7 linked regions of the Kluyveromyces lactis genome follow. The protein of the gene in region 1 purifies or fractionates together with the protein of each later gene. This does not show direct contact. Links are inferred from orthologs where the notes say so. Each region holds a gene or a part of one and is shown in the gene's direction. Other genes may lie near its edges. The genes, in order: NOP4, UTP20, YTM1, DBP9, PUF6, RLP7 and BRX1.

The links.
Region 2: the proteins of NOP4 (region 1) and UTP20 purify together in Saccharomyces cerevisiae (affinity purification with mass spectrometry, with the first as the bait; 3 studies listed by BioGRID). This does not show direct contact. The link is inferred for Kluyveromyces lactis from reciprocal best matches to the Saccharomyces cerevisiae genes NOP4 and UTP20.
Region 3: the proteins of NOP4 (region 1) and YTM1 purify together in Saccharomyces cerevisiae (affinity purification with mass spectrometry; 3 studies listed by BioGRID). This does not show direct contact. The link is inferred for Kluyveromyces lactis from reciprocal best matches to the Saccharomyces cerevisiae genes NOP4 and YTM1.
Region 4: the proteins of NOP4 (region 1) and DBP9 purify together in Saccharomyces cerevisiae (affinity purification with mass spectrometry, with the first as the bait; 3 studies listed by BioGRID). This does not show direct contact. The link is inferred for Kluyveromyces lactis from reciprocal best matches to the Saccharomyces cerevisiae genes NOP4 and DBP9.
Region 5: the proteins of NOP4 (region 1) and PUF6 purify together in Saccharomyces cerevisiae (affinity purification with mass spectrometry; 3 studies listed by BioGRID, with this or other methods). This does not show direct contact. The link is inferred for Kluyveromyces lactis from reciprocal best matches to the Saccharomyces cerevisiae genes NOP4 and PUF6.
Region 6: the proteins of NOP4 (region 1) and RLP7 purify together in Saccharomyces cerevisiae (affinity purification with mass spectrometry, with the first as the bait; 4 studies listed by BioGRID). This does not show direct contact. The link is inferred for Kluyveromyces lactis from reciprocal best matches to the Saccharomyces cerevisiae genes NOP4 and RLP7.
Region 7: the proteins of NOP4 (region 1) and BRX1 purify together in Saccharomyces cerevisiae (affinity purification with mass spectrometry; 4 studies listed by BioGRID, with this or other methods). This does not show direct contact. The link is inferred for Kluyveromyces lactis from reciprocal best matches to the Saccharomyces cerevisiae genes NOP4 and BRX1.

The regions. Positions count from the first base shown.
Region 1 is NC_006040.1:1,003,846-1,007,636, forward strand, and holds NOP4 (mRNA-binding ribosome biosynthesis protein NOP4), read left to right. Parts: upstream 1-1,233; coding exon 1,234-3,291; downstream 3,292-3,791. Other genes in the region: CHL4 (Chl4p), read right to left, coding at 1-772; cyclin-dependent serine/threonine protein kinase SSN3, read right to left, coding at 3,395-3,791. UniProt on the Saccharomyces cerevisiae protein: Required for 60S ribosomal subunit synthesis. Probably involved in the processing of 27S rRNA to produce mature 25S rRNA.
Region 2 is NC_006041.1:1,543,540-1,547,839, reverse strand, and holds part of UTP20 (Utp20p), read left to right. Parts: coding exon 1-4,300. UniProt on the Saccharomyces cerevisiae protein: Involved in nucleolar processing of pre-18S ribosomal RNA and ribosome assembly.
Region 3 is NC_006039.1:647,173-650,332, reverse strand, and holds YTM1 (Ytm1p), read left to right. Parts: upstream 1-1,325; coding exon 1,326-2,660; downstream 2,661-3,160. Other genes in the region: FSF1 (Fsf1p), read right to left, coding at 1-215; KLLA0_C07403g (uncharacterized protein), read right to left, coding at 2,778-3,160. UniProt on the Saccharomyces cerevisiae protein: Component of the NOP7 complex, which is required for maturation of the 25S and 5.8S ribosomal RNAs and formation of the 60S ribosome.
Region 4 is NC_006039.1:416,717-420,289, reverse strand, and holds DBP9 (ATP-dependent DNA/RNA helicase), read left to right. Parts: upstream 1-1,288; coding exon 1,289-3,073; downstream 3,074-3,573. Other genes in the region: cleavage polyadenylation factor subunit YSH1, read left to right, coding at 1-699; PEX8 (Pex8p), read right to left, coding at 3,134-3,573.
Region 5 is NC_006039.1:1,047,744-1,051,601, forward strand, and holds PUF6 (pumilio-family RNA binding domain-containing protein), read left to right. Parts: upstream 1-1,369; coding exon 1,370-3,358; downstream 3,359-3,858. Other genes in the region: myo-inositol transporter ITR1, read left to right, coding at 1-814; CORVET complex subunit VPS3, read left to right, coding at 3,569-3,858. UniProt on the Saccharomyces cerevisiae protein: RNA-binding protein involved in post-transcriptional regulation. Component of the ASH1 mRNP which transports the ASH1 mRNA to the distal tip of the bud, where the ASH1 protein is translated and targeted to the daughter cell nucleus.
Region 6 is NC_006040.1:418,128-420,891, forward strand, and holds RLP7 (Rlp7p), read left to right. Parts: upstream 1-1,307; coding exon 1,308-2,264; downstream 2,265-2,764. UniProt on the Saccharomyces cerevisiae protein: Involved in the biogenesis of the 60S ribosomal subunit. May act as a specificity factor that binds precursor rRNAs and tethers the enzymes that carry out the early 5' to 3' exonucleolytic reactions that generate the mature rRNAs.
Region 7 is NC_006041.1:1,577,273-1,580,130, forward strand, and holds BRX1 (ribosome biogenesis protein BRX1), read left to right. Parts: upstream 1-1,461; coding exon 1,462-2,358; downstream 2,359-2,858. Other genes in the region: MDM20 (Mdm20p), read right to left, coding at 1-849. UniProt on the Saccharomyces cerevisiae protein: Required for biogenesis of the 60S ribosomal subunit.

The DNA.
Region 1 (3,791 bases):
GTGCATCCTTGCCCGAATATACGGACCAAATCCCATACCCTGTAGTATTTACAGACGGCAGCCCTAGAGAAAGGTTTAATTCGTGTAATGACGTGGTTGGTTTCCTGCTAATTCTTTCCAACCTGATTGTCTTGGAATGTAGCTTTGAGAATGCCAGTAATATAAGTTGTGAGTGAGTATCAGACTGCAACGAGTGGAAGATAATCGAGTGTCCCGGCATAATAGCAAAGTAGAACGGTTTGTGTGTATTGATAATAAGGTCGCCAGTTGATTCGAACAACTGAACTCGGCATATGTACATACTTAAATCATCGTTTTCCTCAATGTTAACATCCAATTCGTAAAGTCGTTTAAACTGTTCGCGCATACCATTGATAAGCTCATTCGGCTCCACATTTACGATAAATTGCTTTCCATCTCTATCCAAACATCTGGACGCTACCCATTGGTTAGTTGAAGTGTCACATAAAACAGACCAGATATCCAGTTGTGATAACTGTTCTCGAGATAAAGAAGGCCACCAACTCGTGACAGCCATATTAGCAATATTCCGTACCCCATGTTTTTTCACCAATTCAACTAAATTATCCGAGACCAGCTGTGAATCATTAATGGCATGTGTATCAAGCCAGGTAGTGATCAGTTTCACTATTGCCTGTGCACCGAGCCTAGCAAGTTTATTCTTTGTAACTGTAATATCTACATTATTATTGTCATTTCGAAGCGTGCGTTCCATCTTGGCCGTCCCAATAATATGCTGTTCACCGTCCATATAACACCATCATAAAAAGAACATAAGGATTAAGGGTCATCAAACCTTTCCATAGTTTCAGATTATAGTCGATGTTAAAATTCCATGCATTTTATATAGTATTGATTCTGACAAGAAAGTGAGAACAATCAACTAAATTGGTCTAACTGTCGTATAAGATTGACAGAATATCTTCATAGAACCAGGAAAGTTGTATTGCATCGGAGAACAGAGGTATTGAACAGCCGTATATGCCAGGAATATCCACACGTGATCTGTTCATCTCTTTAAATCTTACAGCTTTTCAGTCCGCTTGATTTCTTTTTGTCAAAAAATTTTAAAGCTCATCTCATCTCATCGCCCAAGAACCATTAGTATTGATATCTAGTATATATATAGTAGAAGGTTAATGAACACATTTATATACTTATTTTGTTAGCGTCTACATCAAACGACGCAGATTTGTGCTTAATATATCTGTGATGAGTGATAAGAAAGTTATTAAGGATGAAGGTCTTGATCTGAAGACGTTATTTGTTCGTGGTGTGCCGTTTGAGTCTACCGATGAAGAATTCGGTAACTTCTTCTCCCAATTCTCTCCTATCAAGCATGCTGTTATTGTCAAAGATGGTGAGGGTGCAAGCAGAGGATTTGGTTTTGTTAGTTTTGCAGTTGAAGATGATACTAAGACTGCTTTGAATCAGGCTAGAAAGACGAAGTTTATGGGACGTTTGTTGAGAATCGATATTGCCAAAAGAAGAGAACGTTCCCGTGGTAAAAAGGATGCGGATGAGGTATCATCAGCACCTTCCGTAGATAATGTTAAAGATGAGGAGGAAAGCAAACCCGAAGATGATAATGATTTAATGAAGGGTAAACCGAAATTAATTATCAGAAATATGCCATGGTCCTGTCGTGATCCGACGAAACTGAAGAAAATCTTCGGATTGTACGGTACCGTTGTTGAAGCTACGATCCCAAGGAAGAGAGACGGTAGATTATGTGGGTTTGCTTTTGTTACAATGAACAGGATCTCTAACTGTAAGGCTGCTATAGAAGGCACTAAGGATTTGAAGATCGATGGCAGGAAAGTGGCTGTTGATTTTGCAATTCAAAAGAACAGATGGGAGGACTATAAGAACGAACATAAGGAACTGGAAGCGTCTGATGAAGATGAGGAAGAAGAAGAAGAAGATGATGATGATGATGAGGATGATGGTTCTGATTCGGGTGAAGAGGACGCTGACAATCAGGACGACAAAGAAAAAGAAGAAAAAAGTGACATCGTCTTGGATTCTGATGAAGAAATCAGCGAAGAGGAGGAAACACCAGAACAGGATACCGTAAAGAAGAACAGAAAGGAAGATTTCTCTATTTTTGTGCGTAATGTTCCATACGATGCCACTCAAGAATCCTTAGAACGTCATTTCGGCGTGTTCGGCCCAGTAAAATACGCTTTGCCAGTGATTGATAAAGAAACTGGTTTGGCGAAGGGTACTGCTTTCGTTGCATTCAGAAGCGAAGATGCTTACAACGACTGTCTAAATAATGCTCCTGCTACAGGAAGTACATCCCTTCTAATAAGTGATGATGTTTCCCCAGAGTATGTTTATGAGGGTCGTGTTCTTGCAATTTCTCCAACTCTTGATAGAGAATCTGCTGGAAGAATGTTTGAGAGAAATGCCGAGAAGAGAAAAGAAGTTCTTGGTAAGGCACCAGGTGAAAAGGACAGACGTAATCTATATTTGTTAAATGAAGGTAGAATTGTTGCAGGTTCAAAGCTTTCACAGTTGTTAACTCCTGCTGATATGGAAGTCAGAGAAAAATCTTACAAGTTAAGAGTCGAACAATTGAAGAAGAATCCAACGTTACATCTTTCGATGACTAGATTGGCTATCAGAAATATTCCAAGAGCAATGACTGAGAAGGGTCTAAAGGCGCTAGCTCGTAAAGCTGTAGTAGAGTTCGCCAAAGAAGTTAACGAAAACAAGAGACACGCATTGAATAAAGAAGAAATCGTCAGATCTACTAAGGAAAAGTACAAGTTCATGTCTGAAGAAGAAATCGAAGCTCAAAAGAAGAAGGACAAGAAACAAGGTATTGTTAGACAATCTAAAATTATCATGGAAATTAAAGGATCTAGCGGTGGTAGAAGTAGAGGGTATGGTTTTGTTGAATTCAGGGATCATAAAGCTGCGCTAATGTGTCTAAGATGGTTAAATGCTCATGAAGTCAGTAGGGACGAAATCTTAGAAGGACTTACGGATGATGAAAAGAAACAGCTTGATGCAGACAGTTTCAAAAAAAGAAGACTGGTGGTCGAATTTGCTATCGAAAACGCTAACGTTGTGAAGAGAAGAAGAGAAAAGGTCAAAGAATCTAGATTGATATCTTTCAAGAGAAAAAGAGATGATGAAGAGAATAAAGAAGAAGAAAAAGTGGCTCAACCAGTAGAAGAGGAAACAAAATCTGGTCTAAGTAATAATATTAAACAGATTATTGGATCTAAACGTAGAAGAAAGAACAAGGGCCGTTCTTGAATGTAAACAATAGTCAAAGGCAAAAATTCAAAGCATTCCGAAGCAATGAAGTTTCTAGGATATAAAATCTGTATATTAAATAACATGCATTTCAATTATAGAATCATTTTCTCTTTTTCCGTGCTGATCCTCCGGTTGCAGTATTGCTTGTGGGGTTGTTTCCATTACCAGACACAGCAGCTGCAGCGGCAGCTGCCGCTGCTGCTGCCAAGATACGTTTGTTTACACCTAATCCGTTCATGTTCCCATTCTTATTATTATTGTTACCATGCATTGGTTGTTTTTGAGAGTGATTAGCTTGATTATTATCATTGCCGACATTCGTAATGTCGTTATCGTTTGTGTGAATGCGCCTTGGTGGGTATTTGTAGTTGAGACCCTCGAACACATTTTCACAGACAGGAGGGTCGCCGTTGGTGAAATAGACATGGTCTAAAGCGTCGATTGCATCGATTCTCTTGATAGGATCATACTGCAATAGACGGTAAAGAATGTCTAAA
Region 2 (4,300 bases), on another chromosome or scaffold:
TCGGCCGTGTTCAAACCCCAAATACAAGTGGTCTCAAGAAGAGCAGGAAAACTGCAGTAATCACTATTTTGCCTAGTTTGGAAAACCGCTACATTATACAGTTTTTGCAGCTCGCCACGGGAAAGTTCAAATATGAATACTTCTTTGAGAATGGGAATAAAATTGACCTTACTTATGCGACTTCTCTGACCTTAAGAAAGATGCTTGGTTTCATCAATGTCGTTAATTCGTCATTGGCAGTGTTGGGTTCCCAATATCCCGACGTGATGAAAACTGTTATAAGGCCTCTAATATATGCTATCAACATGTCAAACTTTATTGTTTCTGAAAAGTCCGATGAGCAATTTGTCGAAAAGGTAGCATCTAACTTGAGGCAAATAGGACATAAGTGTTTGCATAATCTCTTTAGTCAACTAGGAGACGTTTTGGATTGGAGGCCTTTTACTGCTGACATATTCAATAATGTGATTACACCCCGTCTAGAGAAATTTGAAGATGAGAACTTGCAACAGGTATCATCTGTCATGAAAATTATTACATACTGGGCTGAACAAAAATCACTCTACAGTTTCCTATACTTTGATGATTTGTCTGCTGTAGCTGCCTTGATGAAAACATTACAAAATTCAAATGCAAAGGAGTCTGTAGTGGGTGTGATATTGAATTTCTGTAATAAGATAATCAATAACCCTGACCAGGACCCAAAGTATGTTGAGCTAATCATTATGATAGTTACGATTTGCTTGCAGCAGTTGCCTGTGCTACTACAAAGGTGCACGGAAAGTACTGTTATTTCTGCTGCAGTAGACTTGTTGCTAAATATCACCGAACTTGGTTATGTTGAAGATAACGAAACAAGAGAATTGTTGGTGGGTTCATTGACTCAAGCATTGCAAAAAGATCTCTCGCAATTCACTGTGAAAGATAAAGTGAAACTTTTGAAGACATTATCAACTTTGATGGATAATTTCGACTGTTCGTTTTCACAAGTTGAACCATTGTACATTGCCGCATCTAAATTATACAGATCTTATTCTGATAAGGATCTCAGACAGGCATTGAACAATATTTTTGTGAGCATTGGTGCGAGGTTCAACGAATATGAGGCTGTTGGGGCGCTGTTGGCTGATTTAAATTCGTATTCGACCAGCAGAATGAGAGAATATGACTTTGAAAGAAGATTACCGGCATTCAAGCGCTTCACAGAGAAAGAATGTGACTCTTACACAGAAATGCAATGGTTGCCTGTAATCTACTCATGCTTGTTTTTCATCAATGACACTCAAGAATTAGCTATTAGAACTAATGCTTCTCACACATTAAATCGATTTGTTGATTGTATGAACTCAAAGCTCTCAGTTGAAGATGCAAGTGCATACATAGACATAATGAAAACCATCATTTTACCAAATATCAGGTCAGGTTTAAGAAAGAACATTGAAGAGATTCAAAATGAATATATCTCTCTCATTGCTTATATTGTCACAAACTCTCAATATCTGTTTGAAATTGAAGATATGAAAGTTCTATTACACAATGGTGATGAAGAAGCTGATTTCTTCGTTAATATAAACCATATTCAGTTGCATCGTCGTCAAAGAGCTGTCAGACGTCTAAAAGACTATGCTCCAAAGCTTTCTGACAACAGTATTTCGCACTACTTAATTCCTATGGTCGAGCGCTATGTTTTCTCTACCGAAGAGAAGTACAGAAACATTGGTAACGAAACCCTTATCACTATCGGTACTCTATCGAACTATATGTCATGGAACCAATACAAAGCCTTATTCAGAAGGTACAGCTCTATGTTGAAGAAGAATACTGAAAAACAAAAGGAAGTGGTTTCCCTTCTTGTCAATATTTCTGTTTCCTTAAAGAACTCTTTACAAGCAATGAGAACTGGAGATGAATCCCTACCAACACTCAGAAAGTTCCCAAAAAGCTATCAAGAACCGGAAGCTTTCATAACAAAAGATATCTTCCCTAGCTTGAGTAAGATCTTATCGACTAGAGATGACGAAACAATTGTGTCTAGAGTTCACTTATCAGAAGCATTAGTGAACCTCGCATTGGGCTTGGAAAAGGATGACACTGCGGCACTTTTGCCTGGTATTTTAACCAGTGTATGTCAGGTTTTACGTAGTAGATCGGAAGAATTGCGTGAGGCAGTGAGAAAGAACTTAGCAAATCTTACTGTTATACTAGGCCCACAATACTTATCTTTCGTCATCAAGGAGTTAAAGTCAGCTCTTACCAGGGGCTCCCAAATCCATGTTTTGAGTTATTCTTTGCATTTCGTATTGATGTCAATCTCTGAAACCCTTGTTCATGGTGATCTTGATGAATCTGTTGGTATGATAGTCGATGTTATCATGGAGGATATTTTTGGTGCTGCTGGTCAAGAAAAGGATGCAGAAGGATACACATCCAAAATGAAAGAAGTCAAATTTAATAAAAGTTATGATACCGGTGAATTGGTAACATCCAACATCACCCTCCCAATGTTTGGGTCGTTATTGCGCCCTGTCAATGTATTGTTGCATGAAAGGCTTGCTCTAAAATCGCAAAACAAACTCAATGAATTATTAAGAAGGTATGCCTTGGGTTTGAATCATAATCAAGAAGCGTCATCTCCAGACGTTCTCAAATTGTGCTATGAGATATTTAATCAATCTCACTCAGACAAGAGTAATAGACCCAATAAAGTCAGAACCACTAAAGATGAGCGTGCAGATTTCTTTTTAGTTGATCTTAACTTTAAATCAGGCACTGTCCAGAACGATACAACTATTTACGCTCATACTTTGCAAAAATTCTCCTTAGATCTATTGAGAACGGCTGTTACCAAAAATGCCAACCTAATGGAAGTTAAATATCTACAGCCTTTCATCCCATTAATGAAAGAAACTCTTGTATCTGATAACGAGGGTGTTGTCATGGCTACTTTACGCCTTTTGACTATAATAATTAAGTTGGATTTCGAAGAAGAAGCTGAGGCTATATTCAAAAATTGTGCCAGAAAGGTCTTAGAAATTGTCAAGAATTCACCATCAACATCATCAGACTTGTGTCAGATGGGCCTCAAATTTTTATCAGTCATGCTCCGCCATAAAGATATTCAATTGAAAGATACTGCCCTGGGTTACTTGTTAGGACGTCTCCAACCTGACTTGATGGAACCTAGCAAACAGGGGTTGGCGTTCAACTTCGTCAAAGCCTTGCTATCAAAGCACATAGTACTTCCAGAACTTTATGATGTTGTAGACAATATTGCGGAAATCATGGTTACAAATCATTCTAAGGAGATCAGAGATGTTGCCAGAGGTGTGTACTATCATTTCCTTATGGAATATGATCAGAGTAAAGGAAGATTAGAAAAACAGTTCCGTTTTATGTTGAACAACTTGCAGTATCCATCTCAGGAAGGTCGTCAATCAGTCTTAGAACTCGTCAACTTAGTCATTAACAAATCTGGTGCAGAACTTGTGAAGAAAATTTCATCATCTTTCTTTGTTTCCTTGGCGAACGTTTGCGTCCAAGATGATGCCCCGAAGTGTCGTGAAATGGCTTCCGTTCTTCTTGCCTCACTCTTTGAAAAATTGGGGAAAGCAAATGTAAAGGAAATCGAAAAGTTCATTACCGCGTGGTTAAAGCAGGCTGACAATGAACAATTTTTGAGTTTGGGTTTAAAGATCTACAAGATTTACCTGAATAAACTTGGAGCTGGAGTAAACCCTTCTCTTGACACATTAGCGATAACTCGTGTGAAGTCTATTATTTCCAATACAAACGTCGGATCAGATTCTTCATGGGACCTCGTTTATACCGCATTATCTGTCTTCACTGTTTATGTTGCTAAAAATGAAGGCCAAGCATTCAGTAGCGAATTTGATGAGACCTGGAAGCAAATTGCCAACTGTCTGTTATACCCTCATTCTTGGGTTCGTCTCTCGGCTGTTCGTCTCGTCAATCAATTGATTAACAATCTTTCCAAGCTTGAGGCTCCATTGGATGACTATCAAATTCAAACGATCGCATATAGAATTTTCCGTCTGTTGGGAGCACCAAAATTACCTGAAAACTTGTCGTCAGTTGCTGTGAAGACTCTTCTAGTTATAATCATGAAATGGAATGAAAATAATACGCCGTACATTCATAATTCAGAAGAGAATTCAGTGTCCAGATATTCAAACGCGATAGAGTTTGCCATTGCTAGAACTGGTTGGATAATCAGAAGTGAGGATAATCCAAACGATTCTCATAATTCGAAAAAAGCTGCCATTCAGCTGGCTGCATTAAC
Region 3 (3,160 bases), on another chromosome or scaffold:
TGTTTCTTTGCATGCCAGAACTCAGGCGTCGTTTCTTTCAACTCTCCATGGCGATATGCACTGATGATTTTGCGAGCTTGTTGAAGATCATCACTGCTCGTTAACAACATCGTTGGATCAGAAATCTCTGCGCAGTGACGAACACGTCCCCAATAGGTGCTTAGATCATAACGAGATTCTGGTAGGGCAATTGGACCTGGGACACTGGATGCCATGATAAGCTGTACTCAAGTGTATCGAAGTCTTTTGGATGAGCTGAGCTTCTACGAGACAAACACGACTTTGTTCTTGCTTAATTACTTTCGAGATGAGATGACTCTTTAGATATAAATGCATTATTCTCTCGAGCTTGCATTTTTTTTTTTCATTCTGCAGCGTCAGAATGATACGTACGGCGTTACAAAGCTGCTGGAATTCTGATAAGAAAAAAGACAGTAATTATTGATCTAGCAATAGGTTATTATAATTCTCTTATTCTCGGAGAAACTGTACTAGTGAAACGATGATGATTCCAACCACTTCGATTTCCAATTTAGCAATAACATATTTGTCTTTGCCCTAATCATATTCTTAACATGTCTAAAGGTAATATGATAATTTACCCGGACAACTAATTTTCTCTGCCTGAAAAAAAAAAAGAACAGACATCCAGTATAAATTGAGAAGCTTTTCACCTTGAGAAAAAGACAAGGTTAAAGCAAGTACTCTAAGTTAATCAAATTCGAGTCGACTGTTCTTTTGATTATTTGGCTTAAAAAAGTGATACGAAACATATTAATGCCTTCTATTCACTGTGCCATCTGATACACCGTAGATGAACAGAGGGGAAAAGAACGGCTAGATGAAAATTCTATCCGCGAGCGTACCTCATACTGATTAAAGTACTTAACTATTTTTCATCAATTGGCTTTAATTGGTAGCTGCGTGAGCGGGACATTCTCTATCTCTTGTCACTCCTGAATTTACTTATACTTGTATATACCATATATTACTCGTGAAAATGTTTAGTATTACACGGTCATTAGTCTGTCACTTAGCTATTGGTGTACTGACTAATTTCCACTACCCGGTTCCTTAAAACATATACACGTGACTGGCATTTATTTCTGGCGGATTTCTTTTTCGAGCAGTGGTTTGTTTCCCAAAAATTTTCCAAGCTCATCGCATCTTACAACGCTTAGAAAATGTACAAGATAGGAAGAATAGAGTTAACGCGCTCCATCGTACCTCAGTAACAACGTGCGATCACAATCTATTAGACAATTCAAACTAGAATTCACTGGAAGAATATCTTAGTTATAAGGAGAAGTAAACTGTAGGGGAATATGTCAACAGATAAGACTCAGGTGAAGCTACGCTTCTTTACTCGTGAAGAAGATGAGACTTTACATGTCAATGATGCTCCAATCTATGCTCCAGTTAGTCTAAAGAGATATGGTCTTTCTGAAATTGTTAATCACCTACTGGAATTACCTAAATCTATGCCATTTGATTTCCTTATCGATGGTGAACTTTTGAGAACATCGTTGCAGGACTATTTGATCAAGAAAGGTTTATCATCGGAAACCTTTTTGAATGTTGAATATACTAGAGCAGTGCTACCACCTTCATATTTGTCTAGTTTTGATAACGAAGATTGGGTAAGCTCATTGGATGTCGGAAGCAATTACATCTACAGTGGTTCCTATGACGGTATCGTAAGAACGTACAACTTGTCAGGGAAAGTCGAAAAACAATACAGTGGTCATTCTGGCCCTATTCGTGCTGTGCATTACATTTCTAGTACGAGATTGGTGTCCGCAGGGAATGATCGCACTCTACGTCTGTGGAAAACGAAGAATGATGATTTGAAATCAATTGATGAAGAAGAAATTGAGGATGGTAAGACATTGGCCATCTTGGAAGGTCATAAAGCCCCTGTAGTGTCCATTGATGTTTCGAAAGACCGTATTCTATCTGCATCATGCGATAATACGGTGAGCTTGTGGTCCACGAATTATAAAGAGATGACTGTCATTGATCCGATGGAGGATTTAGGAGGCAACGTGTCTACTGCAGCCAAGAAGAGGAGAAAGTTGACTCTAAAAGATGGATCTATCAGAAGAAGAGCCCCTTTGGCTCTTTTTGAATCTCACAGTGCTCCAGTAGAGGCTGTCATTTTCGATAAATCGGATGATACTGTTGGGTATTCCGTGTCACAAGATCATACTATAAAAACATGGGATCTGATAACGGCAAAATGTGTCGATACAAAGACGACATCGTACTCACTTCTTTCTGTTGCGCAACTACCAAAATTAAATCTCTTAGCATGCGGGTCGAGTGCCAGACACATTACTCTTCATGATCCTCGTGTAAATTCTTCATCTAAAATCACCCAACAGCAGCTTGTAGGTCACAAGAACTTCGTTGTCGCTTTGGATACTTGTCCAGAAAATGAATATATGATATGCTCTGCATCTCACGATGGAACTGTCAAGGTTTGGGATGTTAGGTCTAACACTGCAATGTACACTATCACCAGAGAAGATAAAAATGTTGTTAAAGGTGTCAATGATAAAGTGTTTGCTGTCAAATGGGCTAAAGGCGTAGGTATCATCAGCGGTGGTCAAGACAAAAAAATTCAAATTAATAAAGGTGATAATATATTTAGTAACTAATCGTAATTTTATATATTATATACAGGAATTATGCTCACTAGTTCACTTAAATATAAAAGAAATGTACCACAAAAAATGTTGAGAAACAACATAGTATTTGCAGGGTTCTAATGTTAATTATCTTTTTAGTTCCGAATGGAATTTGGCTAGACCATAAAACCCTTGGAATAAGGATTCGTAGTCTGTTAGGTAACCATTCAAATTTTTAACATCAACCTGGTTGGAATGATCTTCCCATCCACGTAATTTACGTAGTCTTGCTAGCTCATCGTATGTGAATTGTACTAGTGGTCTAGTTCCGTATTTCAACGGTCCAACATTAACCCAGTGTAAACGTCCTGTACAATTGTTAGAAAGCATCTCAATAGCATTGAAGTAATCAAACATGTTTGCTGCTGTGTCAATAAAGAATGCAGAACATACTATTATATTTTTGTATTTTTTCTCTGGTTTATAGCAGCAAAAGTCACCGAAAAGTACTGTTAAGTTCTCTGGCTTTT
Region 4 (3,573 bases), on another chromosome or scaffold:
ATAGTTTCAGGTATATTGGTGTCAGATGAGAAGAATTTTGATCTAAGTTTAGTTTCGCTTTCAGATTTAAGAGAACATTATCAACAATTATCTACTACAGTTTTGACAGAAAGACAGACAGTCCACTTGGACTGTAAAAGCGAACTAGTATATTGGCATATCTGCCAAATGTTTGGTGACGTAGATGTATACATTGACGAAGAAAACGTCTCATTGAAGAACATCAATCCCGAATTCAAGACGAGGAAGATAAAGAAGGGTGAACTAGAAATAAAAATCATGGGAGATGTAATATTAAATATAGTTGACAATGTAGCTACATTGCAATGGACTCAGAATGTTATCAGTGATTCAGTCGCGGATAGTGTCATGGCAATTCTACTGAGTGTCGAGAGCGCTCCAGCAAGTATCAAAATGAGTTCGAAGTCATGTGGACATCATCATGGACACGATGATCACACGACTAAAATTAAGAACATATCGAGAGTTTTCAAGGAACAGTTTGGTGATACTTTTACATTATTTTTGAATGAGGAAGACTCCAAAGAAGAAATAAAAGGCACTATCAACTTAGGAAAAACAACAGCATGTATAAACTTCTCAAAAATGGTTGTGGAAGAATGTAACTCTAATCCATTGAAAGGTAGAATAGAGAGTTTATTAAAAATTGGCTCCGACTTGGTGGCCCCATTGTGTTAATCTGTCTCATATATAGATATGATTATATATGAGCTAGTCATTAATCATCTTTTTGCATTAACTATATACTTTTCAACCCTATACTGCCATCTTGCCAAGGTGTTCCTCTGTACTAAATAATCTATTAAAACTTTAAAGATGCATTCAAGTTTCAATTAACTGAATGAACATATCGTTTTCGACAAGTTACAAAAGACACCAAGAGGACAAAAAACCATTTACTAAACTACTAAACGCGATATATATATATATATTCTCATTATAACAGTAAATTTTAAATCAATCTACCAATACCATGGCAAAATCAGAGCTACAGTGAGGTATTTCATTCACATTGCCAATCCAGAAGAGACAAGATAACTCAATCACGTGACTCATAAATCCTTTTGCCTGTGTAGTTTCTTTTTGCACCTCAAGAAAATTTTTGGGAAGCTCATCTCATCTCATCCAGAGTCTGAACGTACAAGAGCTGTAAAACAGGCTAAATGGGTCTCAACTATCAGCAGCATTAACCTTTTGATCGAAACTTACAACCGAGGTTATAGTTAAAGTGTTCGACGAGAGCTAGAGTCCAGAAAAACGCTTCAATATGGCTCAAACAAGCGCTTCCCAGGGATACATTGATGATTCTTCTTCTTTCGATTCGTTCCACTTGGATTCACGTTTATCACAAGCCATCCGCAGTATCGGCTTCAAACACCCTACTTTGATCCAATCCAGTGCGATACCATTAGCTCTTCAAGAGAAAAGGGATATCATAGCGAAAGCTAGTACCGGCTCTGGTAAAACTTTAGCATATTTGATACCAGTGATTCAAACAATTTTAGATCATAAGAAGGCAGATCAGAATGATGAAGGTGCCACTCTAGGGGTAATATTGGTCCCAACTAGAGAATTGGCTCAGCAAGTTTTAGAAGTTGTTGAAAAGCTCATTGTTTTCTGTTCTCAAGAAATTAAATGCTTAAATCTTTCATCGGGTAATGTATCGGGAAACTTATTGAAATCTTTACTTACCGAAAATCCAGAAATATTGATAGCTACGCCGGCCAAGTTAGTAGATTTACTAGATGCGCAAGATGTTAATATTGACAGGTTGAAGTTCTTGGTTATCGATGAAGTTGATTTGGTGTTAACTTTCGGATACCAAGAGGACCTTACGAAGATTTCAGAACGCTTACCATTGAGAAAGAGTTTACAAACTTTCTTGATGAGTGCCACTCTAAATGACGATATCCAACACTTGAAGCAGCAATTCTGCCGTTCACCAGCGATTTTGAAACTTAATGACGACGAAGTCAACAAAGATCAAACAAAGCTTATTCAATATTATGTGAAGGTTGGAGAATTTGATAAGTTCCTATTGTGTTATGTGATTTTCAAACTGGGACTAATTAAGGGTAAGACATTAATCTTCGTTAACAATATCGATAGAGGATACAGACTAAAGCTAGTTTTAGAACAGTTTGGTATTAAATCTTGCATTTTGAACAGTGAACTGCCAGCAAATTCAAGACAGCATATCGTAGAAGAATTCAACAAGAACGTTTATCAACTGTTAATAGCTACAGACGATACTGAATATATCAAAGAAGAAGACGAAGACTTAGAATCAGAAAAAACTGAGGATGGTTTAGTTGAGGTTGTCGATGATTCCACTGTTACTACGAAAGACAATGCAAAGAAACAAAAGAAGCCAAAGCTAAACGTGGAGAAAGACAAAGAATATGGTGTATCTCGCGGTGTGGACTTCAAAAATGTTGCCTGTGTATTAAACTTTGATCTACCAACCACTGCAAAATCGTATGTACATAGAATTGGTAGAACAGCTCGTGCAGGGAAGTCAGGAATTTCTATTTCTTTTGTTGTTCCTTTGAAGGAATTCGGGAAGCATAAACCATCTATGATCAAGAGTGCTAAGAAGGATGAAAAGATACTAGGCAGAATTATAAAACAACAGGCTAAATTAGGCTTTGAACTACAGCCTTACAACTTTGATATCAAACAGGTCGAAGGTTTCCGTTATAGAATGGAAGACGGTTTCCGTGCAGTAACTCAGGTTGCTATTAGAGAGGCAAGGATAAAGGAGTTAAAACAGGAACTTTTGGCAAGTGAGAAACTAAAGAGACATTTTGAAGAGAATCCTCATGACTTAGAGAGTTTGAGACATGACAAGGAGTTACATCCTGCTCGTGTACAACAGCATTTAAAAAGAGTTCCGGACTATCTTTTACCAGAAACTGCTAGGAAAGATAATAAGAAGATCGGTTTCGTTCCATTCCACAAAAATTCGCATAGAAAGAACGGAAGAGTGGTTAAGAAGAAGGGGAATGTCCAAAGAAAGGGTAAATCTGATCCTTTGAAAAGCTTCAAATAGATATTCAATTAATTACGACCAGCCTATTTAACATTAGCACTAGGAATATATAAGTATAGATCAAATTCTTGATAAATTTGGAACTATCCTATCATACCACCATCTAATTGCTAGTTCATTGTGAGAATGTGATATATACTCCCATAATTTAGTAATGATATGTTCTTTCATTAGAGGCGGAAGAGTTCGGGCTAATTCGTTACATGCATCTAACCAATCCCATAAGTATTCATCAGGCACATTGTGGAATTGTTCTATGAGACATTGTATGCTAGTGGATTTCATTTGTAAATTTTCAGTGTTGATTATTCTAATATAGGTCGAATGAATTAGATCCCGGATTAAGTCATTGTCATAATTAGAAAGATATCTTATAGTTGGAAGTATGCTTTTCCAAATTACAATTAATTGTTTTTCTGTCATTAAAGATGCACTGCATTGTCTGAAACAATCATGTAAGTATAGCCTCAATCTTTTGAGTTTAAAGTTTGTGACATCTG
Region 5 (3,858 bases), on another chromosome or scaffold:
TGTCAAAGAATTACATACTGTCCCATGCAATTTCAGGGCATTGGTGATCGGTTGTGCTTTACAAGGTATTCAACAATTCTGTGGTTGGAATTCTTTAATGTATTTCTCTGGTACTATTTTTCAAACTGTTGGTTTCGAAAATTCTACTGCAGTGTCTATCATCGTTGCCGGTACTAACTTCGTATTCACTTTAGTCGCTTTCTTTGCGATTGATAAGGTCGGTCGTAGAGCAATCCTTTTGATTGGCTTGCCTGGTATGATGGTTTCCTTGGTTATGTGTGCTATCGCCTTCCATTTCCTAGATATAAAATTCACTGGCGCTGGTGAATCGGAAGTTTCCAATGGTGGATTCAGTTCTTGGGGTATAGTCGTTATCGTATTCATCATGGTATATGCAGCATTCTATGCTCTAGGTATCGGTACTGTACCATGGCAGCAATCTGAATTATTTGCAACATCCGTTAGAGGTGTAGGTACTTCTTATTGTACAGCTACTAACTGGGCTGGTTCCCTAATTATTGCATCTACCTTCCTAACAATGTTACAAAACATAACACCGACTGGTACATTTTCATTATTTGCTGCACTAGCTGCAGTATCTACCGTCTTCTGTTATCTCTGTTATCCAGAACTATCTGGTCTAGAATTGGAGGAAGTACAAACTATTTTAAGTGATGGATTCAACATCAAAGCTTCCAAACAACTAGCCAAGAAGAGAAAGCAACAAAATAGCGAAATGCAAAGGAGATTTAGAGAAAAGGACATGGAAGCTTATCAAAAGGATAAACCCTCCGATGAACTACTTGAAAGTTAATGTAAATGCAGTCATTCCCTCTTATTCTCATACCCGAAGCTACTGTCTTGGTTTTTCAATGAACTTCATATGAAGTTGAGTATATAGATAACCATAAAATCTTTTAGAATTAACAACTATAGCTGCTAAAGTTGTCCACAATTACTACTGTAATATTATCATTGTCATGTGTAAAACTCAACTTGTTTGTGATTTACAATAAAAATCTCGTTAGTTTGAAAGGGTGACATTTACTCATTTCATAATTAACTAACTCGGAAGAGAGAGCTTTCGAGAAATAGAGCTAAATCTTTGAAGCATGTAATAAACTGCCATATTCGGTTTAATCAGCCAAATCCTGTACCAACTGTATATTCCCCCCATCAAAAAAAGAGAGATTCTGGCGAATGTTTATTTGAGTTCTTTCTTTTTAGCATATTATGAAAATTTTCTGAACTTGAAAAAGAAGCGATGAGATGAGATGAGCTTATACAGTAGTAACTGCACTATGGGTAGCATTAAATAACAACATATACATTCTTATTCTCTCTCGTAGGACAATACAGCACTACAGATATGGCAGCCACGTCGAAAAAGTTGAACAAGCGTCAATTGGAATCTAAGGAGTCGAAGGATTCTGGTAAAATTGTAAAAAGAGCTAAAAACATTAGTGTTGATTCTGGCGATGAAGATTCTGATGATGTCCTCCACGGTTTATCTTCAGAAGATGAGCTAGATGATGAATTAGATGATGCTAGCTCAAATTCAGATTCAGACGAGCTAGACAACGAATCTGATCAACTGGATGAATCTGATGAGGATCAAGAAGATGCTGAAGATGAAGAAGATGCTGGAACCGGAAATGATGCAGACAAAAAAGAAAGTAATGGTGTCAGCCAGCATGCCGAACAAAGAAAAACATTAAAGGAGAGAAAACTTCAGCGTAAATCTGGTGAAACAGTCCAGCAGATCAAGTCTTTATGGGAAAGATTACGTGTCAAGAACCCTCCAATTCCAAAGCCTGTCCGTGAAAAGCTATGTAATGAGATCTGGGAACTCTCGAATGATTGTATTGAAGATTTAGTATTGAAGCATGATGCATCCAGAATTGTCCAGACATTAGTCAAATATTCTTCCAAAGAGCGCAGAGAACAGATCACGTTGGCATTGAAAGATAAAATTTATGTTTTGGCCACATCATCATATGGTAAATATTTGTTGGTTAAATTGTTACATTATGGTTCCCGAAAATCTAGACAAATCATAATCGATCAACTACATGGTAATTTGAGAAAACTAATGAGACACCGTGAAGGTGCCTATGTGGTCGAAGATTTGTTTGTTCTTTATGCCTCTCAAGAACAAAGAAATCAAATGATCAGAGAATTTTGGGGTTCAGAATACGCCGTATTCAGAGAATCTCATAAGGAACTTACGCTCGAAGAAGTTTGTGCTTCCAGCGTAGAAAAGAGAAATATTATCGCTAGAAACTTGATTGGTACCATCACTGCTTCTGTTGAAAAAGGTTCGGCAGGTTTCCAGATTTTACACGCAGCAATGAGGGAATACGTCAAAATCGCCAACGATAAAGAAACATCTGAGTTCATCGAACTTTTAGAAGAGAACTTTGCGGAATTAGTGCATACCCCAGAAGGTGCAGAAGTTGCATCTACTTTAATCGCTAAAGCAAATGCCAAAGAAAGAAAGGGGTTGATAAAGACCTTGAAAGAACATGCAATCAAGTTAATTCAAAATGAACACGGTGCCGTTGTTTTCATAACTTTATTAATGACAGTCGATGATACTGTTCTCGTCTCCAAGGCATTTTCCCCACCAATTAAGGAACATCTTCCAGAATTGATTGTTGATAAATTTGGTAGGAGGCCGCTCTTATTCCTACTTTTAGGATTAGATGGTAAATACTTCGGTCCAAATATGAAGAATGAACTACAAAGATACATTAAGATGTCGGAAACTACTTCCAAGAAGCCATTTGACCAAAGAAGACTTGAATTATTAAAAAGGTTCGCACCAATGATTTTATCTGGCGTAAACGAACACTACAAAACCATTCTAGATGAAAACATCGGTTCTCAATTTGTCGCAGATTTACTCGTTAACGATGATGTCTATGAACAACTTTCAGAGTCTGATCAAAAGTTGTTTGCCGAGCTTGTGGACACCGTCGCCATTTATTTCAAAGGTGACATTTCAGAAGAAGACCACCCTATTAACAAACCATTTTCGGCAAGGTTGCTAAAGTCTCTCATTCAAAATGGTAGATACAACGTGAAAGCAAGAAAACTAGAACCTCTAGAAAAAGTTCAGGGACTTGGTATTCCATTTGCTGAAAAATTTTATGAAGACATCATTGATTCCAGCAACCTACTCGATTGGATCAACAAACCCAACAGTTCTTTTACCATTGTGGCATTGTATGAAGCCTTACATGGGACTGAAGAAGGGGAACAATTCGATCATGATTTGAAAAAAGTGATCAAGAAAATAGAGACGAACGATTCAAACAAGGGTGCTCAACTACTTCTAAAGCTAATGAAGCATTGAGTATGTATAGTCAAGTCGTTATATAGTTTGGCTCTAAAATATGTATATTAAAGATGATATAGCTTCTCATCATTGTGGACGAAGGACGTTCTAGTCTACTATTAAGATTCACACTTCCTTAAATGAGACTATCATCTGCGAACCAGAGATAATACAGCTAAGAACATTTATTCCTCAATTCACTAATTACAGCAGTGGCATTGATGGCTTATGAATGACGATACTAAAGAGAAACCCATTTCAACTGCCTTTGAAGTAACCGATGGATTATATGCTGTTTCACCATTAATCGAGAATGTGCCTCATGAATATGAGTACTCATGTATCGAATATTATGGTCAGCACATCTACCTGGGCTCGACTTCAGGAGCGTTACTACACTATTATGAATTAGATGTTGGAAATTTCACACTGATCTCGGAAGTCAACTTCAATGAAGACAGACCAACAGGAATTGATGGCATAACGCTACTGCCGAAAATTGATAGAGCCTTAGTGTT
Region 6 (2,764 bases), about 590 kb from region 1:
TTAAGAATCAAGAAAGTCGACTTTTGGGTTCAGCGCGGGTCCTGCAATGTTCATTCTGATAACCACTACTCGATTTTCATGCCGGTTTTTTTATCGTACTTGTCGTTTTGATAGAAAAGAAAAACATAAGACACTCGAAGTGATTTTTATTCCTTCGAGCGTGGACTTAGTCAGCCCGTAGTGGAAGTACATTTCCTACTGTTCACGCTGTAGCTCAACAAACGGCACAGTGTATTTACTATCTTCCTAGAATCACGTGAGCGAAGGGAAAAATATAACTTAAGAGTAGCATAATTCCAGTGCTGTCAGCGGTATCGCTCAGTGATTTGGAATTTAAATCGAGGAAAACGTCCTACAATTTAGGGACAGGCATGCGTTCACGGTTAAATCGTTCGAAATTTTTTCCGTCGTTCGAGCCGCCCCACTGGGATCTCTGTTGTAAGAAAAGACCGCCGATTTATGATAAAGGGCGGACTTTGCTCTGAGGTTCCTTCTCTGCCTTTTCAGCATTCTTCCTCTCGAGGGACCTTTTCCCATTTCTTTTTTTTCTTACTTGTTCTGTGTTGAGAACTTGAACCACAGTTGATCTCACGGTTGTTTCGAAACAGAGAGCGGCATAGATGGTACAAAGAATGGAGCCACGGCTGGTTTCGAAGGAAACACTGCTGTGGGCACACATTTCGAGACTCCTAAAGCCACCTCGAAAGCCAGTGTCAAAAGCCAAGATATAACGATTTCATGAGCTGATACGGAAAACTTTACTGCCGGTTAGAAGTGCTAGTTCCTGCAGCAGGTAGATAGGGGAAACTGCTTGAAAATTCGTCTCTGTATATACGATTCACATATAGACAGTCACAATTTGACTATTTGACTATTTAACTTGCTTCCCATTCTTTGGGTAACTTTCCGAAATGTTCCCATTTAATTCTGAAGAATCTTGCTGGGGTACACCATGCTGCAGCAACAGATCATCCCAGGTAAACGCCAACTTGCCAGTACCCTATTCGAGGTCAGCTTGTAATTGTAATTGTAATTGATCATCTACTTGTCTGAGTGTCAAACAGAAGATCTTGGTTTCACAGTTCACGTGACTGGAAGTGTTTCTTTTCGTTACAGAAAATTTTTTTGGCGAGGAAAAAAAAGTTCAGTGCGATGAGATGCGATGAGATGAAATTAAAGATTATGAATAAAGCTTTCAATGAGAGATGACCTTGGCTAATCTGAAGTATTAGGAGCATATAAGTTGTATTATATAGAGCTGGTTTGTGCTGAGATTAATAAACAGGGCAGTAATATAGAAGCAACAAATGTCACAACCATTGAACTCGAACCCAGAGGTTCTTTTAAGAAAGAGAAGAAATGCTGATCGTACTAGGTTGGAGAAGCAGGAGCTTGCCAAGAAGAGAAAGGAGCAAGAAGAGAAACAGAAACGTAGTAAGAAGAACAGATTTGTTAGAGCTGAGACGATAGTCGCCACAACTTTGGCTACTGAGAGAGAAAAGACCAGAATCAGAAGAGTCAGAGACTTAGAAAACCAAAAGGTCAAGAACGATTTGTCACATATCCCATCCGATAGGGATTTTATCTTGCGTATCTCTGAAAGAGAAGCCGGTAGTAAGGCTACATCCGAATCTGAGCTTCAAGATGTTGATGAGGAAGATGAAGAGGACGATGGGTTAATCAGGGAAAAAATCGTATACGATGGTGAGCCAAGCTTATTATTTGTTATAAGAGTGAAAGGACCCACAGCTGTGAAGATCCCAGCAAAGGCTTACAAAGTGTTATCTCTTTTGAGACTTGTTGAGTTGAACACTGGTGTTTTCATCAAACTTACCAAGGACGTGTACCCATTGTTGAAACTTGTATCACCATATATTGTTATCGGACAACCTTCACTTGCATCTATCCGTTCTTTAATCCAAAAGAGATCTAGAATAATGTGGCAAAGGCCAGAAGATAAAGAACCAAAAGAGATAATCTTGAATGACAACAATATCGTTGAAGAGAAATTAGGTGATGAAGGTGTCATTTGTATCGAGGATATCATCCATGAGATTTCGACGTTGGGCGAAAATTTCTCGAAATGTACTTTCTTCCTATTACCATTCAAATTGAACAGAGAAGTCAGTGGATTCGGTGCCATCTCCCGTTTGAATAAACTGAAAATGCGCGAACAAAACAAGAAGACTCGTCAAATTTCAAACGCTGCCACGGCTCCAGTTATCCAAGTAGATATCGACTCAATGATTTCCAAGTTGAATTGATTAACTATAAAAGGAAAATATCTGTACAATAGACATCGGGCTCCCATTGGCCCTACCCACATATGTAGAAATACATTACTCTATTCACTACTGCATTTAGTTATGTTTAACATTTGATATAGCAGACGCTACCGCCAGGCACAATATATTCCCCTTCCCTCTTGCCATTCGCTGTACTTGTGGTGGATTCCAATTCAGCGCAGTCACGTGCTAGTAATCACCGCATTTTTTTCTTTTCCTTTCAGGCTAAAACCGGTTCCGGGCCTGATCCCTGCACTCATTTTCTAACGGAAAACCTTCAGAAGCATAACTACCCATTCCAGTTTAGAGTCATGACAGGTTCAACATCAGATGCTTCATATACTTTTATATATTGAATTATATAAATATATCTATGTACTCTAAGTAAGTACATCTGCTTTAACGCATTCCTACATTTGCTTCGATTTATTTTTATTGTTGATACCTATTTGAAGAAGTAAAAAGTATCCCACACTACA
Region 7 (2,858 bases), on another chromosome or scaffold:
GATTTCCAAAACTTCCAATAACTCATCGAATGACTTGCCAAGTTTGTAACTTGCATCTATAATCTTTTGCAAAATACCATAATCGTCAAGGTTATTCAATAACGAGATTCCATGTTTCCAAATGAGTTTATAATCGTCTAATTTCACCAAATGGCCCATAAGGAAGTTTTTCAAATAAAGGTCTAAGTAAGTACCATGTTTCCAAAACTTGAGGATCTCGTCCACGATCTCCTGTGATTTATCCTCAAACAATTCACAAACTTTACAGAAAACGATCAACTCTTGCTCATTCTCAAAAGGTTTCAAATCGCTTGTCAATTTATATGTCAACTTAGGTAAAAGATCCAATTCCCTTTCGTTAATGTTATCTTTATCCAACTGAAACCATACTACAGTAGCAATACTGTTCCAGAATTGGAACAATCTCGATTTCGATTTTTCATTGACTCGTGGCATCTGGAAACTACTCTTACTCAAATGTCTCCAATTTAAATCCCTCAATGACTCCAAGAACCAATCATAACATGTCTCCGAATTACCGTATTTCATCATTGCTCTTTCATAAGGTTCCAATGCACTGGTGGTGTCAAAACCTAATTCCAACAAAAATCGATGGCACATTGATAGCGATTTCGCATCGCTTGGAGGAGATTTGGCATCCAAGATCAACTTTAACCCATTTTCAAAACTATATTTCGCAGGAGATTGCCTGTACTTGACATATTGCTCTAACACTTTGTAATAAGTGGCGGATGGGTACCGTTTCTGCAATGATGCAACAAACTGTGAAGCTTTCTTAAACAGTTCCCTATCTAATAGCTGAAAAAGCTGATGATCTTCAGAGTTCATATCAACAGTTTCCACTCTTCGTGTTGGTCGATATCAAATCTAACAGATCAAACAGCAACGAACACCGTTACTGCCAGACATACCGGGTTGTTCTACGAACGACGTGCGTATGAGGTTGTTCATTAGAAGTTTGAATGCTGAATTAAGCCAATATCGTAATTTTTCAGTCTTGATTACCCGGATAATAAACTATAACTGTATGTGTATCCATAAATGTAAACGGCACAGCCTAACAAGGGCATCAGCGCTCTTACTGCTTGAAATATAAACGCAAGACCTCACCATACAATCCCCACCCGCGTTGAATCTGATAGAAGCCAGTTGGCAGACGATACGAACATTTTCTTTTCGAGAAACTATCCTTTTCTATTTTAAATCATCACTGATGAGCCTTAGTTTCTTTTTCGGTACATTGAAAATTTTTGAAAAGTTAGAAAAGGCGATGAGATGAGATGAGATGAGATGAGATGAGATGAGAAGAGGTATTGAACAAGGTTGTCCTGATCCTTCCAATCTATACATCGTCGGTCTAAACACTTTGAGATTATTGTATTACACTTGAGTAGTTGGAAGGAAGAAAAAGCCAAGAACTGCTAAGCAAATCCTTCTATAATGTCGAGTATTTTCAAGACTTTGTCTCGTAAGGATAAAGACGGTAAGAAGAACAAAAATAATGCGGCTAACAGTGACAGTAATGAGAAACAGTTCATGAATAAGCAACGTACCTTACTTATTACGTCCAGAGGTGTTACTTATAGACATCGTCATTTGGTTCAGGATTTGAACAGTCTTCTACCACATTCGAGAAAGGAACCTAAGTTGGACACGAAGAAGGATCTAGGACAATTGAATGAGATTGCGGAATTGTACAACTGTAATAACATTATATTCTTTGAAGCTAGAAAGCACCAGGATTTGTACCTATGGCTATCAAAGCCACCAAATGGACCAACAATCAAGTTTTATTTGCAGAACCTACATACCATGGACGAATTAAACTTCACTGGCAACTGTTTGAAGGGATCCAGACCAATATTGTCATTTGATGGTAGATTTGATTCTGAACCGCACTACCGTTTAATTAAAGAACTTTTTATCCATAACTTCGGTGTACCACCTCAAGCTAGAAAGTCCAAGCCATTCATTGACCATATCATGTCTTTCAGTATAGTTGACGAAAAGATCTGGGTAAGAACGTATGAGATCTCGCATGAAGCTAGGAACAACGTTGAATATGAGGATAAAGAAGAAGATGAAACGTCGTTAGTTGAAATTGGCCCACGTTTCGTGATGACACCGATTTTGATCCTTGAAGGTTCATTTGGTGGTCCAAAGATCTACGAAAACAGACAATACGTATCGCCAAACTTCGTTAGATCTCAAATTAAACAACAGGCTGCCAAGGAAGCTAAGACCAGAGCCGAAGCTGCTGTTGAAAGGAAACTAAAGAAGAGAGAAAGTGTCTTGGCTGTAGATCCATTATCCAACGATGCATTGTTCAAAGATTAAAGTACAATCCAGAACTCTAGAAAAAATCATGATTTATATATTGTCAACTTAGGAGAACGGCGTTCTTCCTGCTCAGACTTGTACATATGTATACTCCTATATATATGCTTTTGAATGGGCTGTTTTTGATAATATAATTTTTCGTTTTATTCCTAACTATACTATACGTTAAAGTCGTACATGAATATTTAATTTATTTAGTTAACTTGGGGGGCCAGAATACCAGTTAAACTTGAAGCGTCATGAAACGTCATGGGGAAAACGTTTTTACATTTGGTGTGAACCACAGTGTGCTGTTTGAAATGTTTTTTTTATCATTTGTTTGAATTTTAATAGATTTATTAATATTTTACTTGCCCAATGCCATTGCATTCTTCTATTCCCCAAATACGAAGATGTTATGCGTAGTAATAACAAATCATACTGTATAATTTTCAGGAAACGTGAATTGAACAGTCAAGTGGGTAGAATTAATAAGGAAGTAAAAATGTCCTGACTTT